Linked DNA regions of Notamacropus eugenii. The protein of the gene in region 3 purifies or fractionates together with the protein of the main gene of each other region. This does not show direct contact. Links are inferred from orthologs where the notes say so. Each region holds a gene or a part of one and is shown on either strand. Other genes may lie near its edges. The genes, in order: FAM83H, GAPVD1, CSNK1D and FAM110B.

Evidence for each region.
Region 1: the proteins of CSNK1D (region 3) and FAM83H purify together in Homo sapiens (co-immunoprecipitation; 5 studies listed by BioGRID and IntAct, counting the BioPlex papers as one, with this or other methods). This does not show direct contact. The link is inferred for Notamacropus eugenii from reciprocal best matches to the Homo sapiens genes CSNK1D and FAM83H.
Region 2: the proteins of CSNK1D (region 3) and GAPVD1 purify together in Homo sapiens (affinity purification with mass spectrometry; 5 studies listed by BioGRID and IntAct, counting the BioPlex papers as one, with this or other methods). This does not show direct contact. The link is inferred for Notamacropus eugenii from reciprocal best matches to the Homo sapiens genes CSNK1D and GAPVD1.
Region 4: the proteins of CSNK1D (region 3) and FAM110B purify together in Homo sapiens (affinity purification with mass spectrometry; 3 studies listed by BioGRID and IntAct, counting the BioPlex papers as one, with this or other methods). This does not show direct contact. The link is inferred for Notamacropus eugenii from reciprocal best matches to the Homo sapiens genes CSNK1D and FAM110B.

The regions. Positions count from the first base shown.
Region 1 is NC_092875.1:85,158,127-85,166,175, reverse strand, and holds the start of FAM83H (protein FAM83H), read left to right. Parts: upstream 1-4,664; 5' UTR 4,665-4,741; coding exon 4,742-5,059; intron 5,060-8,049. UniProt on the Homo sapiens protein: May play a major role in the structural organization and calcification of developing enamel. May play a role in keratin cytoskeleton disassembly by recruiting CSNK1A1 to keratin filaments. Thereby, it may regulate epithelial cell migration.
Region 2 is NC_092872.1:447,544,082-447,551,747, forward strand, and holds the start of GAPVD1 (GTPase-activating protein and VPS9 domain-containing protein 1), read left to right. Parts: upstream 1-4,339; 5' UTR 4,340-4,529; intron 4,530-7,666. UniProt on the Homo sapiens protein: Acts both as a GTPase-activating protein (GAP) and a guanine nucleotide exchange factor (GEF), and participates in various processes such as endocytosis, insulin receptor internalization or LC2A4/GLUT4 trafficking.
Region 3 is NC_092873.1:327,096,411-327,104,566, reverse strand, and holds the start of CSNK1D (casein kinase I), read left to right. Parts: upstream 1-4,911; 5' UTR 4,912-5,249; coding exon 5,250-5,325; intron 5,326-8,156. UniProt on the Homo sapiens protein: Essential serine/threonine-protein kinase that regulates diverse cellular growth and survival processes including Wnt signaling, DNA repair and circadian rhythms. It can phosphorylate a large number of proteins.
Region 4 is NC_092875.1:276,397,304-276,404,842, forward strand, and holds the start of FAM110B (protein FAM110B), read left to right. Parts: upstream 1-4,297; 5' UTR 4,298-4,429; intron 4,430-7,539. UniProt on the Homo sapiens protein: May be involved in tumor progression.

The DNA.
Region 1 (8,049 bases), on a different chromosome or scaffold from region 3:
TAAGTGACTTGCCCAAGGTCACACAGCTAGCATATGTCTGAAATCACATTTGAACTCAGGCCTTCCTGAGTGTGATTACTCTAGCTTAAATGCTTCATACATCATATTAATAAGATATTTTTCCATATGAAGTATTTGTTATTAAATAAATTTTGTTCTCTGGTTTAAAGGGTTTCCACAGTGAATCAAACAACATTTATTATCCCCACACTAAGTACCAGGCACAGGGCTAAGCATGGAGGATAGAAAGAGACAAAAGACAGTCTTGGCCCTCAAGAAGCTTAGAATCTAATGGGGTCCTGGCAACATGCAAACAAATGCAAATGTTCACAAAACAAGCTAAATTCAGGATAAATAGGGATTAAAAGAGAGAAGGCACTGGAAGGAAGATGAATTTGGGAAGACATCCTATAGAAGGTGGAAGATTAAAAAAGCCAGGGATGTCAGTGGTTGGAATGGAGGAGAGAGAGTGTTCCAGGCAGAGGGGACAGCCAGAAAAACATGCCTACAGCTCAGAGGTAGACTGTCTTGTTAGCAAAACAGCCAGGAGGCCAGGGACACTGGATCAAAGAGTACATGCTAGGGAGTAAGGCAGGTTATGAAGGATTTTGAACGCCAAACTGATTTTCTATTTGTTACTGGAGGGAATAAGCCATAAGGAATGGGGGTGGGGGTGTATGTGTGACAAGTTTGGATCTGCACTTTAGGAAAACCATTTTAGTGTTTGAATAGAGAGAATGGATTGTAGTGGGGAGAGGCAGATTGATTCATCAGCAAAAGTGATGAGAGCCTGTACCAGGGTGGGAGCAGTGTCAGAAAAGAGAAGGGAGTATATTAGGGAGATGTTGTAAAGGTGACAACCTTGGCAACAGCTTGGAAATGGGGGGCGAGTAATAGAGAATGGAGAATCCAAGATGACTCCTGGGTTGAGAACCCAAGCGCCTGGGAGATCTTGACTCAAACTCTGTCTCACTTATTAGCCCTATGACCCTGTGCAAATCACTCAGCCTTTCTGGTCTCAGTTTGCTCATCTGTATGAGACTGGGGGAAAGTGTAGCAATTACTTCAGAGGGTTATTTAATGCTAAAACCTTAGAGTGTCAGTTACTATTATTGTTGTTATTAAGAGTTGATGAGGGCCTGAATTAGGGAGATGGGAATTTGAATGGAGAAAAGGAGATGGATTTTTCTTTCCTTTTTAAATTTTGCTTTTTATTTTTCCTTAGTTACATGTAAAAACATTTGTTTTTAAAACTTTGAGTTTCAAAGGGAGATAGACTTAAGAGATGTTTTGGCGATATAATCGACAAACACTGACCCCTGGTTGTACATGGAGGGTAAGGAAGAGCAAAGGGTCCTAGGATCATAAATTTAGAGCTGGGATAAACTTGAAAGGTTTAGTCCAACTCCTTCATTTTACAGATGAGGAAACTGAGATCCAGGGTCACACAGGTAATAAGTGACAGAGCCAGACTCCTAATCTAGCACCCTGTCCACCGACCACACTCCAGTCCCAAGTTACATTGCGATGTCTGTCTGATGTAAATTTGAACATGTCTGTCCAGTAGCCAAGAACCCAAACTCAGCTCTTGGCTTCCAAGGGCTAGTCCATTTCCTTCTGAGGTAGCCTCAGCTTCTTCCCATAAAGCATAAAGCGGAAATTGAAGCCCCAGAAAGATCTGTGACTCACCAGGCCTCCCATTAAACCAGGAGGGGGTTGGGTTTGGGGACTCACGATAGAAGTAGCTTCAGTGCCCCCTGCTACTAAGATTGGAGGTGAGGCAGCACCTATGATTCTCCTCTCCTTCCATGCTTACCAATAGCCCTACGCTACGTTGGCAACTACTTTCTCCAACACTTTGCTGGATCTCGCCCAGCACACCCCTCCCCCCAGGGCTTCTCTTCTTCCACTTCTTAGGACCAATGGGGAGAAGAAAGAAAGGGAGGGAAGGGTGGAGAATCAAGGTGATGGGGGAGGGGTCTGGGAGGCCAAACCTGAAGGGCCGGTAGGTTGAGGAGTTTATTGAGCTCTGGGCGTTGGTATGACTCACCCAAAGCAGACTGTGGTGGGAAGAAGTGAGGAAGGGGAGGGATCAAGATACTACTCTTAGAGAACCCCCACCCATACCCCTTCTTTAATACTGTTTGTCTCATCTGGGCCCCACCCAATTGCACCCTTCTCCCCCTCTCTCCTATTTTTCTCTCTCCTTAGGACCAACCTCAACTGGACTTTTACATATCCATGTACTTTAGAGGAATTTGATTAACAATTACATTTTGGTTAAAGAAGCCCCCTTTCTCCACTCCCATAAGCAAGGAAGTCTTGAGTTCATGTGAAATATCATGTAAATGATGGAGTGGTGAGGGAAGCGGGGAGAAGTGCTGAAGTGGGACAGGAGTCAGCACTCTCTTGGGCCTTGTCCCTGGGTTCCCTGACTGCATCCTGCATGATTCCCCATTCTCATGTTCTCAGATCAAGGAGGGACCTCAGACGTCTAATCTAATCTAACCCATAGTTAAGTGGGAATCCATATTCCCAGCAAGTTGTCATTCAGTATTTGTCTGTGGACCTCCTGTGGAAGCCCAGTTCACTTTTGGACAGCTCTTATTGTCAGGAACCTTTGCCTGACATTTCACCCTGAATCTGCCCTCCCTTCAGCATCCACCCTTTGCTTCTCATTCTGCCCTCTCAGGCCACTATTCTGCCTCGAAGCTCTTTTACTATTTGGAGGCAACCATCATGCTCCCCCCTCAGCTGGGCCACTCACAGCTCTCAAACACATCTAAGCATTTGCTCATCTAAGTGCCCTCCACTGACTCCCAAACCTACCAACCCTTACAGGTTGTCTATGAGCTCAGGGTTCCCTCAGTGATCAGCAGACAGACTGATCCCTCTCTTCCTACTTGTTACATCCCTCTGAGCCTGCAGAGGTCAAGGTGTATCCCCATCAGCCCCAATACTCACTTAATTCTGCTTATGTGCCACCAGGTACTGTTAGTACTCTTTTCTTACATATCTCATGAGGGAGCATGGTATAAAAGAAAAAGCCCTGGACTTGGAGTCATGAGAGGCCTGGAGTTGAATTTAGCCTTTGATATTTCCTAGAGATGTAACTCTGGGCAAATTACTTAAACTCTGAGCCTTGGTCTCCCACTTTATCTGTTGGTGTGAGGATCAAATGAGATAATGTATGTAAAACACTTTGTAAACCTTTCAAAGACTCCATGTGTCAGCTAAAATCTTCTCAAATAGCTCTGAGCATAGGGATTATATTCTCTGTACTGTATTCCCACAGCATTCCCCTAGTAGCAAATATAGTCATACCCACACGGACTTCAGAATTGTGGAATTTGGGATTTGTTTCCCTGGTCAGTGAAGGCTCAGTCAGTGGGCTGGGAGGCTGAAGTGTTTGTTAGTCAGTTAGTCAGGGAGGGCTTGGATTTTGGGTTTCTTATTATCAGTGGGGATCTGGAATTCCTCTGAATTCCTAGGATTTTTGGAGCAGAAAGGGATGTTCAAAATTATTTAGAGGAGTCAGACTTGTCAGCATCACACAGTAGGAAAGTTAGAATTCAAATTCAAATTCAGGTCCTCAGCACCCAAATTCAATGTTCTTTCCTTTATACCATATGACCTTTCAAAATTAAGATACCCTTAATATTCTTTTTTGAACAGCTACACTATTTGGACAGCTAACTGATCAAAGGTTTGTCACTACAAAACCAACTGGTCAGTAAGGGTTCAAGGCGTCTCTGCTCCTTAAGGGTCCAGGGCACACAAGATAAGTGAGGGTTTGGGGTTTGAGTTTCCCGGTCTATCAGCAATGGGTTGAAGTGACTCCATATAAGGCAGTGCTGTGGGTATACGCCCAGCCCAGAAACAGGACCCAACAAGTTGCTGTAAACACATTGTCAGATCCTGCCTCTGTGAAAGCTGCTTCTCTTGCTCTGTCTCTGTGGAGTTCTACTTTGGTTTGGCTAACCAGGCCTGTGGCCCATAAAGTCCCTGCTGCCATGTGTCAGCCTGTTAGTCAGCCTCTGAGGCCTGGCTGAGAGGCGGCAGCTTGGAGTCCCTATAAACTCTCCAACCTAGCCTGGCCTAGCCCCAGCCTTCCTGGGCTGAGAGACACTCAGAAGGCTCTCAGGCTAGAGGTGCCGGCTGGAGGACCGGGAGGGTGCTTGGGGGAGAGGCAGACGGACCAGACAGGATACCGGCTGGCTGACAGGCAGGCAAGCACGGGACCACTGGGGGGTTGAGCCTGAGGACTGGCCTATCTTGGGACTCAATTCTGAGAGTTTGTGCCATCCTCAAACACTATCTTTGCTGGAGGCTGGTCAGAGATAACACTTTGGGCAACATGACCAGGCCCTCTGGGGTGTTGGGGAGTGAGAGTGGTCTGTGACCAGTAGGGCAGTGCAGATAGTCATTTCAGGGGCAACAACCTAGACTGGACATCATGTCTGGAAAGCGTGGTCGGAACCGTAGACCCCGAACTAAGAGACAGGGACGGGGTCGGAAGGGAGGGGGTGAGACAGGCTCTGTAGTTGAGACTAGGCCACTGGCCCCAGGGGGCCCCCAGGATGGGGCGGGTCAGGGAAACCACGTGATAGAGGAGATGGGTGAGATGGGCAAGTCAGTTCCTGTGGGGCACCCTGGACCAGTGGTCAGGTCAGATTGTTCAGGTCCAGTAGAGGTGGTAGAGGCTTCAACAGCAAGCCAAGAACTGGTGTTGGTCACAGCCATGGAGCTGGGGGGATATGGGGCCAGCTGCCCTGACCCAGCCCTGGCACAGGAAGTATTGAGACTCCAAGAGGTCCAGCTGTGTCTGGAGAGGGAACAGCTCTTATTGGAGGACCGCCGGCGGCAGATTCAGCTGCAGTTGCAGCTGGAGGAGCAACTATGGCGGGAAGAGCAGCTATGGCAAGAGGAGCAGCGATGGCTTGAGCAGTTACAAGAGGAGCACGCATGGGTACGGATGGAGGGGATTGAGTTAGCCCTGGAGCTGGAGCAGCTAAGGACAGGTGGCTTTGAAGAGCAGGAGGAACAGGTGCATGGTCAGGTAAGTCATTGAGAGAAGAACCAGGGCCCACAGTCAAGGGGTACCACTGGAGGTGGTGTACGGATTCAATAAGAGATGGATGAACCACTGATAGTCAGTACTCCACAGATAGACTGGTCATTGACATCTCAATCAGTGGACAAGCTGGTCACTGACCCTGAGGGGACTAGATAGAGAGGACTATGTCCTCTTGGGAAGGGTACTGGCTGATCATTGAGTCTTTGGGAAGGAATAGCTACTGTGTATAGGGAAAGTTGATCGGAAAAGGCAATAGAAAAGACAGATGGCTTTAATGGTATATTGGGCATTTGATGAAATGTCTATCTTAGAAGGAGCTGGGAGATAGATCATATGATATTTAGGGAGGCAAACAATTTGGGGAATGAGAACATATTCTGGGCAATAGGTTGGCAAATATGTGATGGAACATGTTCTGGGAAGGGGCTGCTGAAAGATATGATACAGCATGTTCTAAACAGGAGTGGGGAGAACTGGCAAACATTTGATGGATCATGATCTGGGCAAGGGGGTTAGCAGTTGTATGATGGAGTGTATTATAAACAGGGATTTGGAGAATGTCTGATGGCATGAAATGAAATGTGTTCCAAGTAGGAATCTGGAAGGATGATAAGCATGTATGATGGGCTATATTCTGGGAGGGCTGTGTAGAAGCAATGATGGAATATTTTTTGGGAAGAAGTCAAGGGGGCTTAGTAGACATATGTGATGGGGAATATTTTGGGCGACTTTGCTGGCCAGGTGAGGAACGTGAAAAAAGTGAAATGGCCACTTTCAAATGGACACACAGGAGACTAAAGGTCTGTGAGTTGGTTTTACAGGGCTGAGTACAGGATAAAGGAGGCTAGCCTGAGCTAGGCAGATGATAAGAAGAGGGGAGGCATTGGGGGGAAGTAATTCCTACGGAGAGGATACATATGTACCTATGTATTCAGATCATACTGTGTTAGGCACAGTGTGTATATGTGTGTTTTGGGGGCAGTGTTCTCATTAGGAGAATGTTCCCAGGAGGAGGGTATATGCATGTCTACATGTGTATATGGGGAAACATCTGTTTACTTAAAGTGCAGGGTATACATTCATGTTTGTTTGTGATGGGAGAGACTGGCTGAGTAAGGTGAGTCAGGACTGATGGGGAGCAGAGAAAGCTCATGTCCGAAGCATCCTTTTCTGCCCTGCCCCCATCTCCCCTTAAGGGCTAGTTTCCTGGTTGATTTGTCCCCTTCCCTGGCATTTATTAGGTGCTTAGGGATCGGGGAAGCACGCCATGGCTGTACTCATTACTTCATTAAGGAGGCTGACCGTAGCCTCAGACTCAGCTGGGGCTATTTCAGGGACTCAGATGTGAGGCTTGGTGGGGTGGGGGGGATGGGGAATGGTATTAAACAGTTGCTCTCTGAGTCTCCCAGGGGGTAGGTTCTCCTGGGTTCTTTTATCCAGCATGGAGAATCCTGCAAGATGTAGAGGGTTGGGACATAGAACTGGAGGGAATGGAATGAGAAAGGTCAAATGTTGTGAGCAGTGTACTACATTTCATTCAGTATATGCTTGCATAGATTAGACATGGATTAGTGGTAATGACATGGATTGGTAAGTGCTGATAAGTGGGAAGCTTGAAGCATCTCTATGGGCATAACCAAGTTTGAAGATAACAGAAGAATGAGCTTTTTAGGATTAGTTTAAAATATCACCAGATCATCTTTGGTCAACCAGGGGTCAGTCAGGGTCTCTCAGAAATGTCTCTGGGGCGGAGTACACTCAACTCAGCTAGGATCTCTCAGGGTTCACTAGAGGTTTCTCTGGGATCACTCTGGCTTTTACTGGAACTGTTTATTCTGAGGACCAGAGGAGACAATATATTTAGTCTGACGCTGCTTTGTTCAGCTATAAGGGGTTTCCTGGCCTGGAAATGAACTCCCTCTTCCTCTGAATCTTATTTTCATTCAAGGGTCAACTCAGGTGTCACCTTTTCCTTGAAGCCACCCCTCATGTTCCTAGGTGCTAACACCCTCTCTCTCCTTAACTTTCCTTGTCCTGGGCATCCTTCTTTCCATGTTGGACCTCTTGTACAGAATGTAAAGTCTTGAGGACAGAGCTATTGTATTTTTGTCTCTGTATCCTCAAAGCCAAGATCGGTGTCTTGCAAAATAAGTCATTTAAAGTGTGTTGGATGGGTTAAATTGAGACTCTGTTTATTCTGCCTGGGTTAGACATTTGGAGTACTGCGTTCATTTCTGGGTGCCATACTTTAGGAAGGGCACTGATAAGCAAGAGACAGAACAGAGGAAGGCAGCCAGATTGGGGAAGGACCTACCATTCATCTCATGAGTAATAGCTGAAGGACCCTTCCATCTACTGTGTGTATTCTGTATCTACCAATTAATTTACATATGTTTCTGCCCTTAGCATATATCTTTGAGGGCACGGACGGCAATGTCTTTTTTTTTTTGTTATCTCCAAAGCTTAGTCTATCTAGTGCCTGAACATAGTAAACTCTTTAAGTGCTTGTTGATTGAGTGTACTTGGGAATGATTAGCCTAGGGAAGAGAAGACTTGGGAAGTCCCAAAAGTCCGAGTGCAGTTTTAACCTTTGGGACACCCTGTATATGAGGCTGTGCTAATTTATAGGAATATGGCTTTTGAATTGGAGGTCACCTCAGAGGTCATCTGATCCAACCCAATCATTTTTCAGAGAGGGAAACTGATGTAACTCAAGGTTATATGGGTAATAAGTACTAGAGTCATGATTTGAACCCAAATCCTGACTTTAAGTGCAATGCTCTTTCTAACATAATAGCACCCCTTTCTTAAATCTCTTCTTAGTCTCTACCCCATTTTTGCTCTTACCTTCCCCCTCCAACAGACTAAACCCATACCCAGCCATGGACAGACCCACATCAAATGTCACTTGATCTCATCACCAAATTCAAAGCCAAAATCTCAACAACAATCTTTTTAGTAGCCTATCATCT
Region 2 (7,666 bases), on a different chromosome or scaffold from region 3:
GGGTGCAGTGGGCCAGCTCCCTCAGCCCAGCAACCCTTCTTATTGTTATTATAGTGTAATTTTAAAAGAATTTTAATTATTGATTGCCTATAAATCTGATGTGAAAGAATTAATGTCAAGTATCAGGTTGAAAGTGGAGTTGGGCATATTTGTCTTCTACAGCACCTTAGAGATGTTGCTCTACCTTGTAACATATGCTCACACCCTCATCCATGGGATTGCTATGTCTGGGTTAAAAAAAAAACAAGACAAAAAACCCCTCAAAACCAAACATTGCTACATATACACACAAAGAACTTCAGGAACTTGAAGAGGGAACCTTAGTGGAATATATTTGGTTGGAGAATCAGAGGAAGGAGAAAAAGAAGTCATGTTGTCATAGAAATAAGTTACAGACCACCTGGACAGAAGGAGTCAATAGAAATAGCTCAGAAATCTGGCAAGAAAGTATGAGAGAGCAGTGATGGGGGATTTCAACTATTCAGATATGTGCTAAAAGCAGAACAGCTGGTTCACTCTTGAGTTGTCTTAATGAGAATTTTGTTCTTCAAAAGAGGGACAAAGAAAGAAGAAAAACTATTTTGTGATTCTTTTTTATTTATATCAGACCTAATATTATATTTATTGATATCAGACCAAAAATAAAAAAAGTTTTTCAAGTGCAGATTATACATCTTCATTGTGGATTTTTGGAAAGAGGAGAGGACTGATAGGCATAGTGTAATGTGTATGATAAATTTCGACAAAGAAGATTTTGAAGAGACTACAGAAAGATTAGATAGATTGCATGGCCTAAAATTCTTTGTGGAGAGTCAACCAAAAAAGAATGGGAAGTACTCAAGAAAGAAAATTTGAAGATACAATTCAATTCATCAAGTATTTATAGCACATGGCAGATACTGTGCTAAGTGCTAGGAACACAAAGACAGAAAAGTTCCTGTCCTCAAGGAACTTATATTCTAATGGAGTGATAAAGTAAATACACAAACAAGTGAATATTAAACCCTAAACAAAAAAAAAATTCTGATTGTGGAAAAAAAAATGAACTTGTTTAAAAGACATGTAGGCCTACAAGGAATGGATCTAACAATCTGCATTACTGAAAGACACATGGAACCTAGAGGTAAAGGTCAGCAGTGGAGGAGGATTATAAAATATTAGTAAGATTTTGGGAAAACAGTGCTAGAGGCAGTACAAGTTCAACATGAACTTTAGTAGCTGTTCATGAATGTTGGGACAACAAAAAGGGTTTGTTTTTATTTTAAAAAATATGAACTCACAATAAACTCTATCACTTCTTTAAGAGAAATAACTAATTCCTAGATGCAGGATAAGTCTCTTATTTATTTGCTTCAGGTATGTGCCTAGGACTCACTTACTAAGTCCTGAGTGGGTTGAGATCTATGTAGGAAACTTGTGACATCAGAATGAAATCACAGGTGCTCTGAGTGTGGGGGACAAAAAGAAGGGATATGACCCATGTTCAGATAAGACAAGACAGGATGATGATAACAGAGTGCAGAGAAATGGTTGTTACTCAATTCTTATATTCTCATTTTGCTTCCATTTTCACTGCTAAGGGGAAAGATCTTTGGGTTAGAAAGAATGGAGCAAAAATGTTTAATGAAGAATTAAAATCCTAAAAGAATGATGAGATGATAAGAGGATGTTTAAATTGCATTCAATGAATTGAATTCATCAGGTACTAGAATTGCTGAGGGGTCAGTGGTGAGCTTTGAAAGATACTGGAGAATTGGAAAGAAGTCACAAGATTGCAGAAGGGTAAATTTTGTCCAGATTTTCCAAAAAAGGGAGATTGGTGTGCTCAACAGATTTTAAATCCCATAAGATTCCATAATACATTATCAAAGGCATGGATTGGGAACATAATAAAGGAAAACAGAGATAAGTAAGGATCATAGTAGCTTCAACAGGAATGAGTCATGCCAGATTACCCTCATTTCCTTTTTTTGACAGGGTTTTGACTAGACTGGCAGGGAAATGCTTTAGATGTAATATACCTGGATTTCAGGGGCATATTTGACAAAGTATTTCATGCTCTCTGCATTTGGTGGCATAGGGGATAGAGTGCTGAGCCTCCTCAGAAAGACACTCACGAGCTCTGTGACCTTGGGCATGTCACTTAATCTCTGTTTTCCTTAGTTTTCTCAACTGTAAAATAGGAAGAATAACTCCACCTATTTTGTAGGGTTGTTGTTAGGACTCAAATGATATAATATTTGTAAAAAAAAAAATGTATTAGCACATATGAGGTACTATATAAATACTTATTCCCCTTCGCTTCCCTGGATAACAGAGAAAGACATGAGCCAGATAATAGAATAGTTTGGTGGATTTAGAGCTCATTGAATGATTGGGCACCCAAAAATAGTGATTTGTGACTTAATATCAACATAGGAGGTAAATATTTAGTAAAGATGCCCAGCAACCTGTTTTTGGTCCTGTGGTGTTTAATTTTTTTTTCATCAGAGACCTTGGTTGAAGGTGTAAGTGTGTCATGCTTGTCAAATTTGCAGATTTGGGTGGGCTAAGATGAATGGCGTAGCTACCATGTTGGATGACAGCTGGGATTCAAAGGGATCCTGACAGGCTACAGCATGAAGTGCAAAGTGTAAAAATCATAAATTTGAAATAGATAACTGTGGAGCCTTATACTTCTTTTCAAAAAGATCTACTTCATGAATAGGGCTTGGGTTAGGCATGACCAGATAAAAGGTCCTGTGAAAAAGATGTGGGATTTTTAATGGATTACAAGCTCAGGAGTAAGTTGTGGCAGCTCCACGGCCCTGTGCAACAGAAATTGTATTCCCCAAAGCCTCTATGATTCTAAGATGTGTTAAAAAAATGCAGTTCTGTTTCCTTCTGTCCTGGTGCAATACATTTGGGGTGGGGTGGGGATTCATGCGGATGCTGAATCACTACTTCTTGGGGTTGTTGTGAAAAAGGATTCTTGTTCAGGTATGGGTTGGAAGTGATAACCCGTGAGGTCCCTTCCAACTCTGAGACTCAGAGCATGTGAGATTTCAAGGAAAAGGTAGACTTGATCTGGGTTTTTAAGAAGGGAAGGGTTCCAAGAGATGAAAAATAGCTAAGAAGATTAAGGTTATGGTGGTTGTATACAGAGTTTATTGGAACAAGCTGTAACTGGCTTCCAAGAACTGGTTATTAAAATTTCATTTGTGCATTTATACCCCAGAAATTTGTCACTAAAAATTAGGGACTGATTTATTGTTTTATTGTCTAGACTTAATACAGTGTCAATAATCCAGACCGAACTTAAAGATGTGTATATGCATATACTATCTGTCTGTTTACTTAACTATCTGTTTTCTTGCAAGGGACTGAAGTTATCCACAAACTGGAAGCCTGGTGAATGTAGGCAGATAATAGTAACTTTATATAGTGCTTTGAGGTTTGCAAAGTGCTTTCAGCTATTATCTCGTTTGAGCCTCACAGCATCCCTTGTTGTATTTATTTCAATTGTAGGTAGATGGTGGGAGAAAACATTTTTAAAAATTCATTTTATTTTATTTCCATAAAGTTATGCTTTCTTCCTCCTCCCCCACTGCTTTGGGAGGAGAAAGCAAGAAGAAAAACCCTGCTACGAACAAACCATTGATTTTCAATGAAAAAGCAAGGGGGGAAAACCTGTTATAAACAAAATGTTGACTTTTCATCAAATCTGTGTTGATCTCTGATACAGGATCAGAGGCGCTGGGTTCAAATTCCTCCGTTTCTTTCTACTAGTGTTAAAAGAAGATGCTTCTGTTCTCTCTCAGTTTCCTCGTCTGTAAAAAAGGAGGGGGCTAGCCTGGAGGACAGATGTAAATTTCTGATCCTGTGACCTGCCCAAGGTCACAGGGCTAGCATTGAGGGACTCATGGGTGGAGATGTTACCCAGCACACCGGAGAGGCAGGGGAGGTGGTGAGAGAGCTGGCATCAGGTCCAGCCTCGGACTCCTGTTGGCTGTCTGATGCTGGCCAAATCACTTAAACTCTGAACATGCCAGGTGACTGGCACTAGGAGACACGGTCCGGTGCTGGACACAGCGCCTGCTGGGCACGGAGATGATGTTGGACTTACCGCAGTTTGCCCATCTGCATTGGTAGAGAAAAGTTATTCACTAGATCCCAATACCAATGAAAACACAGGTTCGAACCAAAAAGAAAATTCTGCTTTGCAGAGGGAGTGAGGCACAGAACGAGAAAGCGAAACGCCCAAGGTCGTACAGCTCTGATCCAAGTACTAGGAGGCAGGAAACCCGGAGAAAAAGACAGTCCGGAAACTACAAGTCCCGACGGCCACGCGGCCTGTCCCGCTCTGCGCATGCGCATCGGTGCGGAGGCTGGTGGCCCGGCTGAGTGAGGGGAGGCAGCCCCTGGACGCAGCGAAGGTAGCAGGGAGCGGCGGTGGCGGCGGACGGAGGAGCTGCGACAGGCGACGCCTCAGCCCCAGCCTCAGCCTCTGCCCGGAGATTGCCTCCGCCCGCCCGCCCTGGTCTCCCCTGGTGAGTGTGGGTCCTCACGGCCCTCTGCCCCCTCGGCTCCCTCCGCCCTTTCCAGGCCCGGTCCCAGTCGCCTGGGCCTAGGCCCACAGCCGGCGCCTCACGGCCGGTCCGGAGCCCGGAATGCGTAGCGTCGGCCCCGGTGCCAGACCCCGTGAGGCCTGGCCCTGCCCTCTGCGGCTGGGAGGGTCGGGGGAGGTCGGGACGCACCCCGAGGGGGCGAGTGGGGAAGTGTGGGGGGAGGGGAAAAGCGAGGGGGGAGGGGGCGGAAAGAGGAACCGGGGCCAGGGCTGCCAGGTGGGAGAGCCAGCCGGGCGGAGCGAGGAGGTCGGCCTGCGTGGCGAGGCCCGAGGCCGGGGCCGGGAAAGGGTTAGGAGGGAGGGAGGGGTGAGGGATGGAGGAAGGGAAGGCAGAGAGAGGAGGGAGGAAAGGGCTTTGGGGAAAATAAACAAGACAGAGCAGGTGGAGCCAGCCGGAGTTGGGGGGCGGGGGGCGGCGCGCGGGGGGCTTGAAGTTTCAGTCCCTAGCTGGTAATTCACTGAAGGAATAGACACGGACCCTTCCCGGAAACCCTTGTAGACCCTCACCAATTCCGGGGCCTTCCCTCGGATCACCTCCGATTTACCCCCAGCACACGTCTTGTTGGTGTTCTTGTCGCCGTGCTTCTGCCCTCCCTCTCCCGGGGCTGGGGTGAGGTAACATTTATATAGTATATAGTAAAGAAGAGTTGTAGACAGACTGCTCTGGGAAAATCTGGAGTGGGGAGGGGGAAGCAGTGGAAGCTTTGTGTGAAGGAGCTCCAATCCAAGTTGACTTTGATGGACGGGGAGAGTTTCAGTAGGTCTGGATGTAAAGAGAGTGGTTTCTGGACTTGGGCATGAATGTACAGACAGGAGAGGGCTGGATGGAAAAGGAGGTATGTAGTGTATTTTGGTTGGAAAGAGTGCATGAAGAGGAATTGTATGAAATATGATTAATAAAGTGCATTGGAACTAGGCTCTGGGGTGCCTTTAGTGAAAGGCAGAGGAGTTTGTTGCTGTTTCAATCCTGTCTGACCCTTTGTGACCCCATTTGGGGTCTTAGTGTTTTATATTATAGGGATATGGGAGTGGAAAGAATCTTTTATTTTTAGGTTAGGGCAGGGAAGGTGTAGCTTCTATGCGTTGTAATAATAGCCATTGGGGATGAACTTATATTCCTCAAGTTTCATATACTCTTAGTACTGAAAGAGACCTTAGTGATTATCTAGTCCAGTCTCCTCATTTTATAGAGGAAGAAACTGAGACCCAGAGAGGGAAAGCAGTTTGGCTGATGTCACACAGCTAGTAAGTATCAGAGCCAGGACCTGAACCCAGGTGTCCTGTTTCCAGGTCAGTGCCTACATGAACTGATGACTTTGGATTCATAATTTCCTTTCCACTCTAGTAGAAACTGGAGACAGTCTTAGCGCTTGTAGTTAGGAAATTTAGGGTTCCTATCTGGCCTGTGACACTTACTATCTGTGGGACCATGAGCATGTGAAAGTTATTCAACCTCTCTCAGTCTTGGTATAATGGTGATAATGCTACAACACTACTTCCCTAGTGTTGTAGATTCAAATGTTATGTAAACTGATTTGGAAACTTGAAGTTCTGTAAGTTATTAGAATATTAAGATTTGTGTTCTTTCACTTGTTCTTAGGAGCATAGTCAGAATTGTTCATTCTATTACACTTAGCATATTGTTATCTACATCAAGAAAGGGCTCAGTAAGAAACTTTGTCTTTGGAATGGCCTAAGGGAAATTTTGGAAGCCTTATGGGAAGAAGTGGGTTCTCCATAGAAACTCTTTCGGGATATTTGGCTTGAGATACAGTGGGATCTGTTATTTCACTGTCAGAATCTTCCTCTACCAAGGTTTAGTAAATAAGGATATACAAATCACAAAGTGACTAAAAGGAGGGGATCAGTATCCACAGTAGTTTGCTAATTAGAGGAAGGAAAAGATTTAGGTCACAGCCGAGTTAGTTTTGAAGGCTAGCATAAAACATAAACATTTAATATACTACGTTACAGTGTTAAGCCAGGGTAATAATTTGAGGAGGATAATAAAGTGGCTTTGTGGCATTTAGATTTTATACCTATGCTCCCTCTGGTTCTGAGATATGGGAGGCCTGTAAAGTCCTCTTGGGAGTTGGTAGCAGAACAGTTTTTTTAGTCTTAATTTAAATGTTCTGATTTATAGACAGACACATGCTACCACTCTCAAAGACAGATTGCTTTTTCTTTATTGAGAATGAAAGGCATGTGATCTGTCTTGCTGTTAACCTTCCCTTCAGGAAGGAGGCAGACTTGAAGGTAAATAGGTTTGGTGAGTCATTCTCTTAAAATTCTCTTCTAGCCTCTCTAAAGTTTTATTGTTTTTCACCTTTGTGTTGGAATTAACCTCACCAGCCAATAAATCTTCCTGTTTTCTCAATATCTGGATGACTTTACTGTTGCAGCTCTTAGTAGAATAATTGTTAACACCCTGTGTGAGAATCCCCCCTGTAAAATAATAATGATGAAAAAAAGAGTGAAGCTAATTCTTCATGAAGAAAAGGGAGAAAGGTGATAAAATGGAATTTTACTGTATTTGATTCAGACAATTGAATATTGAGTGAGTTCTCTGAGGAGACTACATCTTGTCTCTAGTTTACATAATGGGGATTATAATGGTTGAACTACCTACTTCGCAGATAGTACCCTTTACATAATTGCTTAATAAATGTTTGTTGAAGTGCATAGAGTCAAATGGTTTTCTAAGACCTAATGTTTTATTTATGTAAGCAAAATATATCACTGTTCTTTCTCCATAAATATTTTAACAGGTTGAAATTTGAATCTTTTTATTCATTTTATGTATTTATTGAGACCTGGTGCTTTTAATGGAGGTTTGGTTTGGGGGAGCTAATCTTACACATTACTATTCGTAGAGAGGATTACTGCATTGTGGATTTAGATGGTATCTCCCAGTTTTGGTATGGTTCAGTTAAAGACTTGGAAATGAAGGGGTAGATGAAGAGGTGCAGTGAGAAGAGCATTGGATTTGGAGTCAAAGAGTCCGAAATCTCTGCCAGACCATGATACTAGCTTGCTGTGTTATTTTGGGTAGATCCCTTT
Region 3 (8,156 bases):
TAATTGAAAAAAGAATTCACTATCTGTTTCTTACAGAGAGGCAGAGAAGTTTCTTCTTATGTAGTTACAGAGAACTAAGTTACAGATGTCCAGGAGAATCTAATTTGTCTTCCTCTAGTTCCTACAAAGGTAAGGAAAGCATGTGTGTTCCTAGAATTTCAAATGCATTTGCCCAAGGAAAAATGCTGAATATGGCAATTAGGAAGAGTTGAAATAGTACTATTATTAGTCTTTATGGTTTTTTCAAGGCAAAGGGAAAAAAAAGTTGGACAGAGAGGGGGAGGAAGGTTTGTAGGCTTACCTGGGAACAGAGCTGTTACTTATAACATTGTTCTTATTGGGAAAACATGTTTGAAATTCCAAAGAAATAACTTTAAAACTTTTGAAACAGAACTCATTTGTAAGCTTGAGACTGCCTGTACTTCTTTGTACACTGTACAAACCACAATAGGCACAAAGATAGTTGGACTTGGTGTTTAGAAGACCTAAGTTTGAACTCTGCTTACTTACTGTATAAGCTTGGGCAAGCCACATTAAACTTCTGGGCCTCAGTTTATTCACTTATAAAACAGGGACAGTAATAGTACCCATGTCACAGGCCTCATTATCAAGAGATGATGTATATACACTTTGAACGAATGAGAGGAAGAGCATGTGATAATTTCTTACTTTGTGCCAGGCATTGGAATAAGCTATAACGGTATAAATGAGGTAATCCCTAACTTCAAGAAACTTGCATTCTGATAGGAGGAGGTCATCACATATGAAAAATGGAGGCCAGAGAAGTTGTGATCTGGGAAGTCACAGGGATGGGTGATGATAAGTGTAAAAAGAAGGCAGTCTTAAAACTTTAAAAATGTAAATTGTTATTATGACTTCTGGAGTATTTGTTGATAGATCTAATAATCTTACTCCTCTCGGTAGAAGGATTCAGAGTAATAGCAAATATGAAAAGCTATTATTTGCTTGATTAGTCCTTCTAGAAAAATTCATTATACTTCTGTTTTATAGATTTTAGAATCCACTTTCCTTTTTTCTCAAAACACTTACTTATAATTGAGTATTATAGGGTGGCCTCCTGCCACCCTAATAGAAGAAAGGGTTAAAGTCTTTGGAAGGCCAGCTATGTCTAAACTTCAGTACCTCCTTCCCCTGATTCCCAGACTATCTTACAGTTAACTATTTTGTATTTATGTTTGTTCTGCATATATGTTGTTTCCCTCATCAGAATGTAAGTTTTTTGTAAGTAGGTTTTTTTCATTTATTTTGTTTCCCCAACAGCTAGTACACTGCCTAGAACTTAGAAGGCATATAATCTATTGATCTATTGATTGAAATAAGAACATTAAAATCCAGCTCAGGTTTAGATAAATGTCCCTATTTTTCAGATTAGTAGACACCATTCAAGAAATAATGTTTCCTAGATCAAAGATCCTTTAAAAAAAGTCCTAGAGTCTTGAAGGTGAGCTTCTTGAGGGGAAGGACTCTTTTATTCTTGTCTTTGTATTATGAGTGCTTAGTTGTTGTTTGTCCTTTGTTTTTTGTCTTTGAAGAGGATCCATGACACACGGGTCTTGCCCTGTGTGTGAATTGGATTTAAGTGAGGCAGTGTTGCAGTCATCACTCTCACTCTCTTTTCCTGAGTCATGGAAATTCAGTGGCAGGACAAAAGTCAAGGATGATTGGCAATACTCTGGGATGTAGAGGATGACCCTGGTATCTTCTACACCTCACCAAACTCTAATCGTCCTGCTTCATGGCAGTTGAAACAAATTGTTGTCATCTGCCCATTCCACCAAGGAAAGTCTTCACATGATTGGGGTAGACATCTCCGTAACTCACGACATGTTTGAGGTCTGTTGGTTACCCTCATTCTGGTTTATCTGCTGAGAAGGTTTTACTGGAGTGTGGCCACAGTTCATGCTACAGCTTCTTGGAGTCACAGCTGAAATGTCAGGTGAATCAAGTAGACACCAAAGGTGGAGGAGCAGCCCTGAAAATGACTAGGCAAGCCCTCATACCATAGGTCCTAGACCTCCTGAACACAAGATGGACCCACTCAGCACTTAGCACACACTGGCTTAACCAATCAATCAATCAACCAGCATTAAGGACAGTTCCTGCCCTCAAGGAGTACTTTCTAAGTACCAGAAAAAAGTGAAACAGTCTTCTTCCCTGTCTTCAAGGAGTGTGTGAACTAAAGGAGGGGACATGTATATATGCAAATATATACATAATCTACACAAAATAGAGGGTAGCTAAGTGGCACAGTGGATAGAGCACTGGGCTTGAAATCAGGAAGACTCATCTTCATGTGTTCAAATCTGGCCTCAGACACTTAGCAGTATGACCCTGGACAAGTTACTTAACCCTGTTCCTCATCTGTAAAATGAGCTGCAGAAGGAAATGGCAAAAGCATTCTAGGATCTTTGCCAAGAAAACCCCAGATAGGGTCATGAAGAGTCCAACTCAACAACAAAATATACAAAATGAATATAAGGCGGTTTTGGAAGGGAGGGCATTCACAGCGGGGGACCAGAAAGTGCTAGAAGGAGGTGTTAGAACTGAATCTTCAAGAAAACCAAGGATTCCAGAAGCAGGAGGTGAGTAGGGGAAAGTGAGGAGAGAGAGCATATATTACAGGCATTGGGATGGCCAATGAAATGGTACAAAGATGAGAGATAGAGTGTTATATATGAAGTCTGAAACAAGCCTAGAATCTCTGGGCAGTAAAGAGCATTGTAAGACAACTAGAAAGGCAGGAAGGAACCAGAATGCAATTGATTTGATTATGTGCCAACCCTCCCTCCCCTTATATTAGAGACAATTTTTATAATTTTAAGTTTGTTTATTTTTAGTTTTCAACATTCACTCTCATAAATTTTAAATTTTCTCCCCCTCCCTTCCCTCTCCCCTCACCAAGATGGCTTGCAATTTGATATAGGCTCTATATATACATTACTATTAAACATTTTAACCTTAGTCATATTGTATAGAAGAATTTGAATGAATGGGAGGAACCATTAGAGAGAAAAAATATACAAAAAAAAGAAGATAATCTGCTTCACTCTGCATTGACTCCACAGTTCTTTCTCTGTATGTGGATGGCATTTTCCATCATGAATCCTTTGGAATTGTTTTAGGTCCTTGCATTGCTGAGAAGGGCTATGTCTATCAAAGTCAGTCATGAAATACTGTGGCTGTTACTGTGTACAATGTTCTCCTGGTTCTGTTCACTTCACTCAGCTTCAGTTCATATAAGAGAGACAATCTTTCTTGACATTAATTTTCTAGAAGGATTTATTTGAAAGAGAAAAATATTTTGGACAACAGCTGGAAACCGCTATCCGTTATCAACTTTCTGGAATATCTTAGCAGCAACCAAATACAGTGGTCAAGTTAACAAGCATTTAAGTGTTTGCTCTCAGAAAGAAAAATATTTCCTGTTCTCAAGGAGCTTACTTTCTAACATGAAGGAAGTGGAGGGGAGAGAAAGGGTACCCACCGGAAGAGATGGGGAATGGTACGGAAAATTGGGGAAAGTCAGAAGCACAGCCTAAAGAGGAATAAGACATGGTTGACTGGGGCATCCTTCTTAAAATGAAGGCTTAGAAAGCAACCCGGTAACCAGAGGGAGAGGCTCAAGTGGGCAGAGGGCAATTCCAGTATGAGAATTCCAGAGGTGAAGTAAACTTCCAAGGTGAAGCATGTTAGTGCAAAAGTCTAAGACAGTCAGCAGTAAGGCTTGGAGTTGGATGTAGGTAGCAATTCAGTATAGATTAAGGAGAAAGACTGGACGGTGGGCTTCCTCTGAATACTTCAGAAGGGCCGTCCACATTTTGAATCTCTTGTAATAAGGGATTACAGTTATAGGGCCTTTGTCAACTGAAATCCCTTCTCTACACCTTCCCTTACCCTTTCTCTGTTTTTGTTTTTTTCTCTTGTGAGGCTTGGCTATTTTTCATCCTACAGGTCTAGGTGAGAGAGAGAGGAACAGAGAGAGAGAGACAGAGAGACAGAGAGAGAGACAGAGAGGGAGAGAGGGACAGAGAGAGAGAGAGAGACAGAGAGTGAGACAGAGAGGGACAGAGAGAGAGAGACAGGGAGAGACAGAGAGACACAAAGACAGAGAGAGAGAGTTCTCCACCATGGATTTCAAAGGCTGCTGAGAACTCCCATTTTCCCGAGACTCCAAGACAAGGGCCCCAAGTCTTTGCTTTCTTGGGCTCTTAAAAGACCGCCTCTTCCCCTGCCTCCAGCTGCCCAGGACAAGAAGAGGGCTAAGTGGACATTCTGCAGGGCTTCCTCTCCCCAGCTTGTTTGCCTCCAGTCCTGCCCCTGCCCTGACCACGGAGAGGCCGGTGAGGACAGGCTCGGGCCACAGGCTCCTTTGGGCCCACGAGGAGGTGGGGGAAACTGATCCCGAACCCGAGAATCTTTCCCCAGTGCCGTCTGGGCGGTGATCAGGTAGAACTGAGCCAAAGGGGTCTGGGACCCCAGCCTTCTCCTCGGCTCTCCCCATTTCGGGGGTTTGTTTCAGAGGCTTTGGAGAGGGTCTCAATGGCAGAGGGGGGCTGGTTTAGAAAAGGAAGTGTTAGGTGGACGGGGGGGTCTGGACGGGGGGGATCTGGACGGGTCACTGCCTAGGGGTGCGGCGGGGGGGGCTGATGTACAGGTAAGGCTCGGCTTTCCCCAGGTGAGTCACTACTGACACGTCCTCCAAGAGACCACGGCCAAACCGATCGGGCCAGGCGCACCACACAAGCCCAGGGAGGCTCTCACCCCCAGCCCACCCGCCCAGCCGCAGGCTCCGGCCGCCTTTGCCCTCACACTCCGCTCTCCCCGCCCCCGCCCCGCTGGTGTCCCCAGAGCAGCGCGGGCCCCGCCCCGCCGGGTTGCTAGGGGAAGTGACGTCACAGCGCGATGGCGGCGGCTCCTTTAGGCGGCTGAAGTGGGATTTAGGCCCGGAAGATCCGAGTCCATCCGTGGTGGGGAGAGGGCGAACGGGGCCGGCGGGGGCCGGAGCAGGGGCGGCGGCGCTCGGACTGTCCCATCCGCCCCATATTGAGGCGCTGGGAGCGGCGGGGCGGCCGGAAAGCGATGGTGAAAGCGGGGCCGTGAGGGGGGCGGAGCCGGGAGCCGGACCCGCATTAGCGGCAGCAGCGGCGCCGCCTCCCCCGGAGCGCAGACCCAGGAAGCGGTCGGGAGGGGAGGGAGCGAACCAGGCCGGAGCCGAAGCCACCACCGTCATGGAGCTGAGAGTTGGGAACAGGTACCGGCTGGGCCGAAAGATCGGCAGCGGCTCCTTTGGAGACATCTATCTTGGTGAGGATTGAAGCCCAGTCCCCTCCCCCCCCCCCGGCCCTGCTCCCGCAGCGAACTACCCCCCTTTCCATACTGCCCCCCCCATACACTCGGCTTCCTTTCACCCCCCAGCCCCGCATTGCCACCCCCCCCCGCCCCCGGCTCCTGCCCTCTCGTCGCTTCCGCCAGTCTTCCTGGACCATCATAGCCTTTCATCACCCCGGGATGCTCTCCCCCCATTACCCTCTGCCCCAGGTTTCCCCATTACTGTGGTGTACCTCAGCCCAGACAAAACACCCCACCCCACCCCAGCACCTTTGTTGAGCCGCAGCCTGGGCTCGGTCCTCATACCCCTCGGTGGCCATCTCCGGCTCTCCGGGGGAATCGAACTCGAGTCTCGAGCCCCTGGAGCAGCTGACACCTGCCTGGGAAACCTGGTTGGGCTGGCCTTTGGGGTTTGCCTTCCCCATGAGCTAATTAATGGCCGGGGGGAGGGGAAAGAGCGGGGAGCCTGGAGGGTGTGAGACTTTTTCCAGCGTCCTGTTTGGTTGCTTGTAATTACTTTAGCCCCTTCTGAGAGTGAATCATTTTGCTTCTCTGGTGAATCCTTGGGGGAGATCTAAGACCCCCTGGTGTAACAGCTTTAGGTTCTAACCACTCAGACCATCCATCCATCCTGTTCTCAACTCCCCACCTTTTCCCACCCCCACCTCCCCCAATCAGATTCTGGCCCTGCCCTAGGAGACCAGATCATTGGCTTGAGGGCTCAGGAACCCGAACTGATTGGGGGTTAGAGGGTCATGGAAGGTCTGATACTAATTTTTTCCTGATTCTAGGTCTGACTTTTTGAGTCTCCAAAATAATTTCTTTGGAAAAGATCTTAACATCAAGGGGAAGGTTAATTCACATTTCATCAGCAGAACTTCGACCCTAGGGTTTTATTAGAATGTTAGAGATGGAAGTTACCTTAAGCAGTCCATCTCTCCTGCTCCTCATCCCCCATTTTTATAGCTTAGGAAACTGAGGCCTCGAAGAGGTTTTTTTACACGTTCAAGGTCATACAGCTTATTCATGATAGAGCTTGAACTCAAACCCATTTCTGACTCCCGGATTCGTATTTCTCTCCTTTATACCAGATTGCTTCTTTTGGCTTTGAAATTAAGGGATGAAATCAGCAGTAGCTCTTGAAAGTTAGAACAGTTTGAAATATATTGCTTCCTGAAATTAATATGGTTAAGAGTCTGAATGAAGAAATAAATTTTTGTGTCAATAGTGCTGTGGATTTGAGTTCAAATAACTATTATGTTTTATTTTTTTTTTAGATATGGTATTATGAAGGGGGTATTTATTGTAATGGATGGCTATATTTGCTATAATGCAATTGCCAGTAAGTAAATATCTGAGAGAGCTGTGTTCTTAGTTACCTGGGATGGTGTAACACAGTGCACCAAAGGAAATCTTTGCATTTTCAGTGAAGATCTAAGAGACTGGTGATCAGATTACTGTAACTGTGTCTGTGCTTTTTAGAGAGGATAGGGTAGGGCTTTTGCTACCTCTCCACTGTATTGTCCAAAAATAAACAAAGGCCATGTCTCTTTCAGAAGACTCTACAGCCCCATCTTACTGCTCTCTCTGGGATCCCCATGTGTTCAATAATCTCCATGTGTTTTGTACTCGTGGGGGAAAATGTCAAAACAACGCTAATGCAGTGTGGAAATGGAGAACTACACACTAGTCAAAAGTCCGGAAATTCCACAGTTACAGTTCCTACAGCAACCTTGTTACAGATACGTTCTTGCTTTAGTTCCTTTTTTCCTACCAAACATAAACTTGACAACAGTAGCAACCATGATTAGAGTCATAAATGGAGAAGGTAGAAGGCCCAGGGTGCTATATCCAATCCCTCTGTGACCTTGGGTAAGTGACTGAAAAGCCTTCCTGGGTCCCAGTTTCTTCCACTTAAATGGCTTTGGATAGATATCTTTTGCCACCAATTAACTTTTTTTGGGGGGGGAGTGTGGAAGGAGGAGAATTTTAGATAACTTGAATTCTTTAGGAATGTTAAGAAGGATCACAAATAGGATTGTCTACTACTGAAAGGATGTGCCATGAGTTGGAATGCCTACAAAATCAGTGCCATTATTTTTGTAGCCTTTAGTTGATGAAGTTTATATGTTTGTCTCACACACACACACACGCACACATTCTTCCAAGTGCTTAAAGATAAAGTAATTTAAACTTGCCTTCCATGCCGTGTTAATCAGTGTTACTCTCCTTTTAATGATAGGAAAGAAACCCAGAAAGGCTAAATAATTGGTGTCAGGCTTATATAGAATTAGTCATTAGCAAAACTACAGGCTAGTACCTGAGAATTTTCTACTCTGGAAACAATCCTTTGACTATTAAAATGTGGAAGGTAAGTTTGTAATTCATCATTTTCTCTGGGAAAACTAACTTTTGGATAAATGATCTATGTTGTTTCAGCATGTGGGAATGGAATAGGTGTGAGCAATAATACTTGAATGTGGCAGAAGTTTTGGAACTGAAAACTTTTTTTCCCAGTTTTTCTCATAGAAATTCTACTTTTCACAAGTAACTCCTTTCTAGCATGTTCTTGGAAAAATAGTGTACAAATTTAAAGAGTAAGGTGTTCTTTGTGTTGAATAGTTTAGGATTTTGCTTGGTTATATGTCTTTGAAGGTTAGATGTCATTTGAATTTCAATAATATCTCTGCTTTCTACTTATTGCTATAAAGACATCTTTTCTCCTTTCTTTTCTGGGTCCTTCATCTCACACCAGACCCAGGAAAAGGAATTGAGGATCTTGTAAACCATAAAATAAAATAAAATAG
Region 4 (7,539 bases), on a different chromosome or scaffold from region 3:
AACTCTGATAAGTTTCAGTTTCTCCAATAAGAGTTTTGTGGTCTTTTGCCTCACTCCCCCCTACCTGTGGAGAATGCTCAGTGAAGATGCTACCATGGTCTTCCATTCTCCCCAGAGTGTCCCTGGTTGGAGGGCTGTTGGAACTCCTGGAACCCTTGGGACATTCCCAGTAAGGGTGCTGTGGCAGTCTTCTATTCCTCTGGGACAATCCGAAGTGTGGTGTTACTGTGGGCTTCTCATTATCTTTTTTTGGGTATAGTCCTGGTTTACTGATTTGCCTCTTTGGACTTCTTAATAATTGTGTGATCTGGTATCTTTTTAGATTCTCCCTGGAGATAATATGGGAGAGCTGGGCTCCTCTATGACCTTTCATGCCTTAACTGGAAATCCCTCCATAAAAATACTGAGGTAAATTGAACAGCCTTAGGGTCAGAACAGGAACCAACTACCAGTGTTAATTACCAACGCTGTTTCCTTATCTCCATTTAATTTTATTACCTTGTTGAAAGAGACAGTGCCTTCTTCCTGATTTATCTATTTCTCTTGATCTTATTATATATTTTTATGACCTATTAAAATTTAGTAAATAAGAGTTTGTAAAACAAATCATACTTATTGTTGACTGGACTATGTTCTTATTTTTAAAAAATGTAATACTGTTCAAAATAGTAATATTTTCCTACATTAACTGGCTCTTGCAAATGCATCCCCAGGGGTAATTCTTGGTGTTTGCTTGACCCATCTCCTACAAAACAGAGAGTAATGTGTTTGCTATGCTACAAATACTTTAAATATTTGTAATATTCTGTGAAAAATGTCTAAGTAATATGTTGAATAAGGAATGGATGGTCAAATCCTGCCATATCCTTTTACAGCAAAAATCAACAATAACAACAACAACCACAGCTCTAAAACAAAAGATTTCTAAGTTTCTAGGCTGATGACTCAGTTGTTTGTTTGGGGGTTTTTTTTGAGTGATATTGTATGCAGGAAAATTCCAGCAGAACAAAAAATTTGGATGGTGCCTTGGAGGTTACTATTGTAGGATTTTATCTTCATTTTCAAACAAATGGGATGAGGAGGCCTAGTTTTTTTTTCAAAATACTTGGTAAGACAAAAGAATTACTGGGACTTTCTGACTTGAATATTTCATTATTTTCCTATCTCTGAATGCATATTATTATTATTAAAATGCTAAAGGAATATTAGACAACATATTTGCTTAAACATTAGTGACTCCTTCAGTATGATCTGGGTACTTATAGAACAAACCTATAGGAACCTATGTCTTCAGACTCACAGATCAAAAGGATCAAATGAATAAAGAAAAAGAATAGAAGAATTTGGTTCTTCTTCCTGCTTCTTGAGTATTCCTATCTATGTGACCTGGGGCAAGTTGCTTGATATATTTGAGTCTCAGTTTCTTTATCTGTAAAATAAAGATAACAGTAACTCTAGTACCTACCCTCATAATGTTATTGTGAAACTCAAATAAGATAATCTCTTATGCATGTCAGTTGAACTGAATTAATATGAGAGACTAACACTGATATAATTTATTATTACAGTGCTGACATTAGCATGTGAAAGAGTTCTATTTAAAACCTATTTTTCATGTTACCGTTCTTAAAACATACCTATTTTTGGCAGCAAAAAAAGTATTATGAGAATTAAATACATGTAGTCATTTCTGAGTTGAAGCTGAGAAAAATTTTCTTCCTTTGCTACATAAGCATTTTTGAGAAAGTTCAAATGTAGGTATAGCCTTCTTATACAATGCAATATAATACAATACAAATGAAAAGTTGTGTATTAATTGAATCATAGTTTAAACTGCAGTAACAGTTTGTTATAAATAATTCCATGATAAACCTTTTTTTTAAGTGAATAATTCTTTTGAAAATGAACAACTAGTGCTGAACTAATTTTGATATGTTTGCGTAAGCTGGGTATACTTTTAGTTAACATAATTAATGATTATGTCAGTTTAGATATCATACAATTAGTCCTTCTTAAAGTTCTAGTTATTACAAAATTCTGAAGGAAAATGATAACAAATATAGCCAAGAATAAGAATAGCAATTTTGAGTTATTCAGAAAATGTTCATTAATTAAAAAGTAGATTTGGGGGTCACACTGTAGAAACTTTGTCAAGGAATCAATCAATAAGCAGTTATTAAGCCCTTACTATGTACCAGGCACTGGTATACTATATATTCCAGGCACTGGGGATACAAATACAAAAGTAAGACAGTGCCTGACCTTAAGAAGCTTAGATTTTTTTAACCAGGGGTAACTTTTATCCATCCATCCAGCTAGCTACCTCTCTCTAAATTGGTTTCCTTTGTAACCCTATGTATATTATTTTATGCATTTAAAAATATTGTTATGAGAAAGGTTGATAGACTTCTGAAGAAGTAAATGGCACAAAAAAGGTTAAGAACTTCTGGACTAAGGGGATGTTCACAGATAAACAAATACAGGATACAAACCAAATAAATACAGGTCCAAGGGCACTAATGACTGTGGGAATCCCAAAGATAGGAATCTCACCTCTTAGAGGATATGGCACTTGACATGAACCTTGATGGGAGGTAGAAACTCTGAGAGACTGAGGAGAAAAGGGAGAATATTCCATACATGGAAAACAATTTGTACAAAGGCACACAGATTGGGAGATGGGGTATCTTATAACAGGAAGGAGCAAGTAGGGCAGCCTGATAAGTAGAGTGCTGTATGAACAATGTGTATAAAGAATAGCTCATAATTGGTCTATAAAGATACTAGCTAGAGCCAGAACAAAGACTTTAAAATAACAAATTTAAGTTTGTATTTTATCCTCAAGGTAATAGGGAACCACTGAACGTTCTTGAGCAGAAGAGGGGCATAGTTAGAGCTGCATTTTTGGAATATTAATTAGACAATTATGAGAATTGGTTGTATGGAGGAGAGAGAGTATAACTTTTTACGTTTAAAAGATTTCCTTTTTTTTTCTTCATAATACCTTTTAAAAAATCTTGAGGGTTAAAGTTCTTCAAGAAAAATTTTAAAAGTGCTTTAAAAAAAGGTTGTATTGAGCAACACAAAATTTAGAAAATACAAAAGGGCCCCACATAACCATGGTCACCAAGGTAAGTACAAATGACCAAGTATGGTGCCTAATTCTGAAATTCTGACCATGGCACCCTTCCCTCGCCCTCCCCTCCCCCCCTTCCCTTCATTCATCTCCAAAGGTTTCCTATCACCTTCGGGATCAAACATATAATCCGTTGTGGGGTTCCAAGTCTTTCAAACCTTGATGCACGTAAACCTTTCCATTCTTCTTTTATCTTAATCCCTGCCCCCACTCCCCTACTCAGATCCAAACACCCAGTGGCAGTTTCCCGAACAAGACCCGATCTCAGGGCACCTTCACTTGCTGTCAGCTTTCCTGACATTTCAGGAAATTTTGTCTCCCTCCTCATCTCTGTCTCCTAGCTTACTTCAAGTCCCATCTAAAATCCCACCTTCTGCAGCAAATCTTTCCCGATCTCCTATAAAGTTAATGATTTCTCTCTGTCGATTTCCAGTGTGTATACTGTATCTATCTTGTTTGGACATAGCTGTTTGCATCGCCTCCTCCGTTAGACTGTGAGCTCCTTGCGAGTCAGGGACTGTTTTCATACCTTTCTTTTGTATTCCCAGCGTTTAGCACAATACGTGGCACATAATAGATACTTTATAAATGTTAATTTACTGACTGGTTAATTTGATTGATTGACTGGGGGCAGGCTACCCCAACCCTTAGAATTTTATCTTTTGTCATTTCGGTGGTTTTGTGTGGTGGTGTTTTTTGGGTTTTAAACTCTGAACTCCCCATGGTCCTGCTTTGAAATAATAATAACAGTCACAATAAAGCTTGACCAGGGTGAGCTAACACAAGCTCCCACACGCCACAGCCCCAACTCAAACTAAGTTCCCTCCCTCAATTGCACAGTTAAACATCCCTTAAGCCCTCCCACTTCGGTGTGGACCAAACCATTGCCTCCACAAGCTAAGGCGGCCATAAACCCGACATCACTGTCTCTCTCGGCCAGGGCTCGGCAAGCTCACGGATCCCGATAGGAGCCGACCAGACCGCACTTTGTTCACCGCCGGTCTGCCCTGCAAGTTGGGGCGCAGGGCGCAGCGGGGGCCGGCAGCAGCCCGCTGCCAAGCTCCCCCGCGGGTGCGGGGGCCGGTGGGCAGGGCCCGGTTTTGCCGAGCTCTTCTTTCCTCTGCCAGCGGCGGCTCCAGCTCCGGGGAGTTTCATTCAGGGTCTGGAGGAAGCGGTTCGTGCACTGCAGGCGGCGGCGGCTTCTCCAGGGACTCTCGCTCCACTTCTGCCTTCGGGGTTCGTTAGTCGGCGTCTCCGGGGAGGCTGCAGGGGCCGTGTTTGCTGAGGCAGGAGGTGAGGCTTGGCCGGGGAGCCTGGGGGGGTTGGGGATGCGCGCCGCCGACGCTGGGCTGCCAGCCGTCGGAGCGAGCGAGCTTGCGAAGGCTGGAAGCAGGGGATGGCGGGGGAGCGCACAGCTGCCCAGCTGCCTCCGCCTCGGCCGCCTCCAGTTGTGGCAGACACCGCTGCCCGGGATACGCGGCAGAAGCCAGCGAGATCCTGCCCCCTCCCCCCAGGTCCTCGCCCTCCACCCCTTCTCCTCGTACCCCTTGTACGAGCTGGCCAGTGCCGGCTGCGGGGTAGCATCCAGACCCCATCTGTGGGTGGCAACAATGCGGATCAGCCGCAGGACTCTCGCTGGGATATGGTTACTCCCCCACCTCCCTTTCTTTGCACCTCTGTCGTATCTTTATTGGTTTTGCTTGATTTAGTTTCATAGGAAGGGGTACCGGTTATTAGGTCAAGCGGCTGAAGTTTCCAGCTTTCAGTGAGGAGAAAACTGCTGCTGTTTGAAGTTGTGTGTGTGTGTGTGTGTGTGTGTGTGACTTGTTTAGAAAGCCCCCCCAGATCTTGAAGTTGCAGCTTCAGAAGTTAATCTGGGAGGGGGAAGGGATCACCACTTACCCAGATCTTAGACCTACTTTCCTAGCCCGGTTTCTGTGGTTCTTCCTCAAAGAAAATCGAATCGTTTGTGCCAAATACTTCTGGGGAAACTACATCAATGATAATTTTGCTTTGTCTTCCCATCCCTATTTGGGAGGTTGCAACAACTGTAAATCCTGGGGCTCTGGAAGTTGTCCCCCTTCCTCCGCCCATTATGGTCTCAAATGTCTAGGCTTTCTTTGAAAGCACACAAATTTGAAGGAGAATTAAATTATCTTTGGTTCACTAGTGCCCCAGATCGCTCTGTGGAGTTCAGTAACTAGGCAATAAAACATATCCAGGATGCTGTGGGAAGCCCCTTATATTTGCTGCCTGAGCATTGGATTTCTGTCCTATTATTGTTATTACTACAGACATGGATAGTGCAAAGAATAGGGACGCCTTCCTTCAACCCCTCCCCCCTACCCCTTAAGCAGCTTTATGGGGAAGGAAGAGATCTTTGGTGTGTCCTTTAATTCCTCTGTAAAGTGGAGAGAAAACACCTGGTGTACAAGGGAGAATAGGAAGACTGTGCTGTTTAACCCCTTCAGGTTGTTAGGCAGATTAAGTAAGCATCATGATAAATGTGCTCATTTTCTATTCTGCCTGTGATGTAGGCATGCTCTGGGCTTTTTCCTTGGGGCCAAACTTATGTCCGATGCAAAATCTGGCACACATCTGTCACAACATTACATGAGACTAACTCTTTCAGTGGTTGACTTTGAAAGGGCTACTGACTGGTCTATTTTCAAAAGGGACTATGACAGTAAGATTAAAGAGTCCTCAATTCAAAAGATATTTCCTTGGTTTCCCCTCTGTTGATATCAAAGATCTTTTGTTTATTTTCTTCCTATTCAACTATTTTCTTCACTTTTATGATTCTGTTTATTGTGTTTAATATATGGCATCACAGCCTGTGGTCAGCCAAATATGACATGAAACTATTAACTTTATTCCCAAGTTTTACCTGACAAGATAGATTTCAGCATTGACGATATCTCAGTATATTATTATAGCTGATAATTGCTTAAGCCAAACATATGATACACCAGGATGAAATTACAAATAAAAATGATTTGGATAGGAGTAATTTTTTTAACTTCTTGGTAATCAGTGAATACTGAGTGAACTTCAGCTGGTGAAATATATTTGAGCTATTTGGAAATTTGCTTTTTGCCACACCCTTTTAGCTGTCCCCCCAAATATGTTTGTGGTTAACCCTACATCAAAATTAATTGATGTTGTGAGTTTCCTTTTTAGACTGAAGTACTGATTTGTATATTCTTACTGCCTGGCAAAGTTGGATTAACTTCCCAGTGTCTAAAGGTACATTACTATAGCGGTACATTGCCCTGGTACCTAAGTGCTGCATCCTGAAAGAGTTAATAGACAAAGTCTCCTAAGGCACCTAGCAGCATAAAGGGTCCCAGAAATTGGAAAGAATGTAGCTAGACACTATTTCTCTTGCCTATGCTCCTAAATCCTTTAGCAAGATGCATTATTGCTTTTAAGTTTAAATTGATCTCAGAACATTTTTCTTATACAAGTTGATGGTAATATTCCCAGTCAAAATTTACCATAAGAATATGTGAGTTGCCTAAAGTATCACACCATATTTAAGGGAATAAAAAAATAAAACCATCATATCTTTATTCCTACCCTTATGATGAAATTGCTAGAATGGAATATGTCTAGTAATTATGTGGATAATGAAGAAAAGACTTTCCTTCTAATGTGCCTGATTAAAGAAAAACTATGCTAGTTTTCTGAAAGAAGTTTCATACTAAATTTTTTTCAAGAAAGTAGACATTTTTATTTTCAAATTCATCTTCTACTCTTGAAAAGTAGTACATTATTGGCTCTTGAAAGCAAAGATAGTGCAGTGGCAGTAGATGGTGCTATGTGGAGTAAGCAGACTGTGTCACATTTATTGAGAAAGTAGGATATCATAGTCCATAGTGAGAAAAGCATTGGATTGGGAATCTGGAGATGTACCCTGACTTTAATCAGAAATATGACCCATGGCAAGTCATTTAACTTCTTTGGGCACTTCCCTCATTGGTAAGTAGAATGGATTGGACTAGTTGGCTCTCTGTATTTAACCTTCCTTGCCATAATAATAGTAGCTATTATTTTTATAGAGCCTCCTATTAGCCAGTCACTGTGCTAAGCACTTTACAGTTATCTCATTTGATTCTCACAATAAGCCAGGAAGGGAGGCGCTATTATTATGTCTATTTTCATTTCTGTTGCCCAGCATTACTGGGCAAGTATTCCACACTCCTGCATATGTTAAAATATACATACAGATTGATTTTGTTGTTGAATCATTTCAGTCATGTCCAACTCTCGGTGATCCCATTTGGGGTTTTCTTGGCAGAGATACTAGAATGGTTTGCCATTTCCTTCTCTAGTTCATCTTTACAGCCGAGGAAACTGAGGCAAACAGGATTAAGTGACTTGTCCAGGATCACACAGCTAGT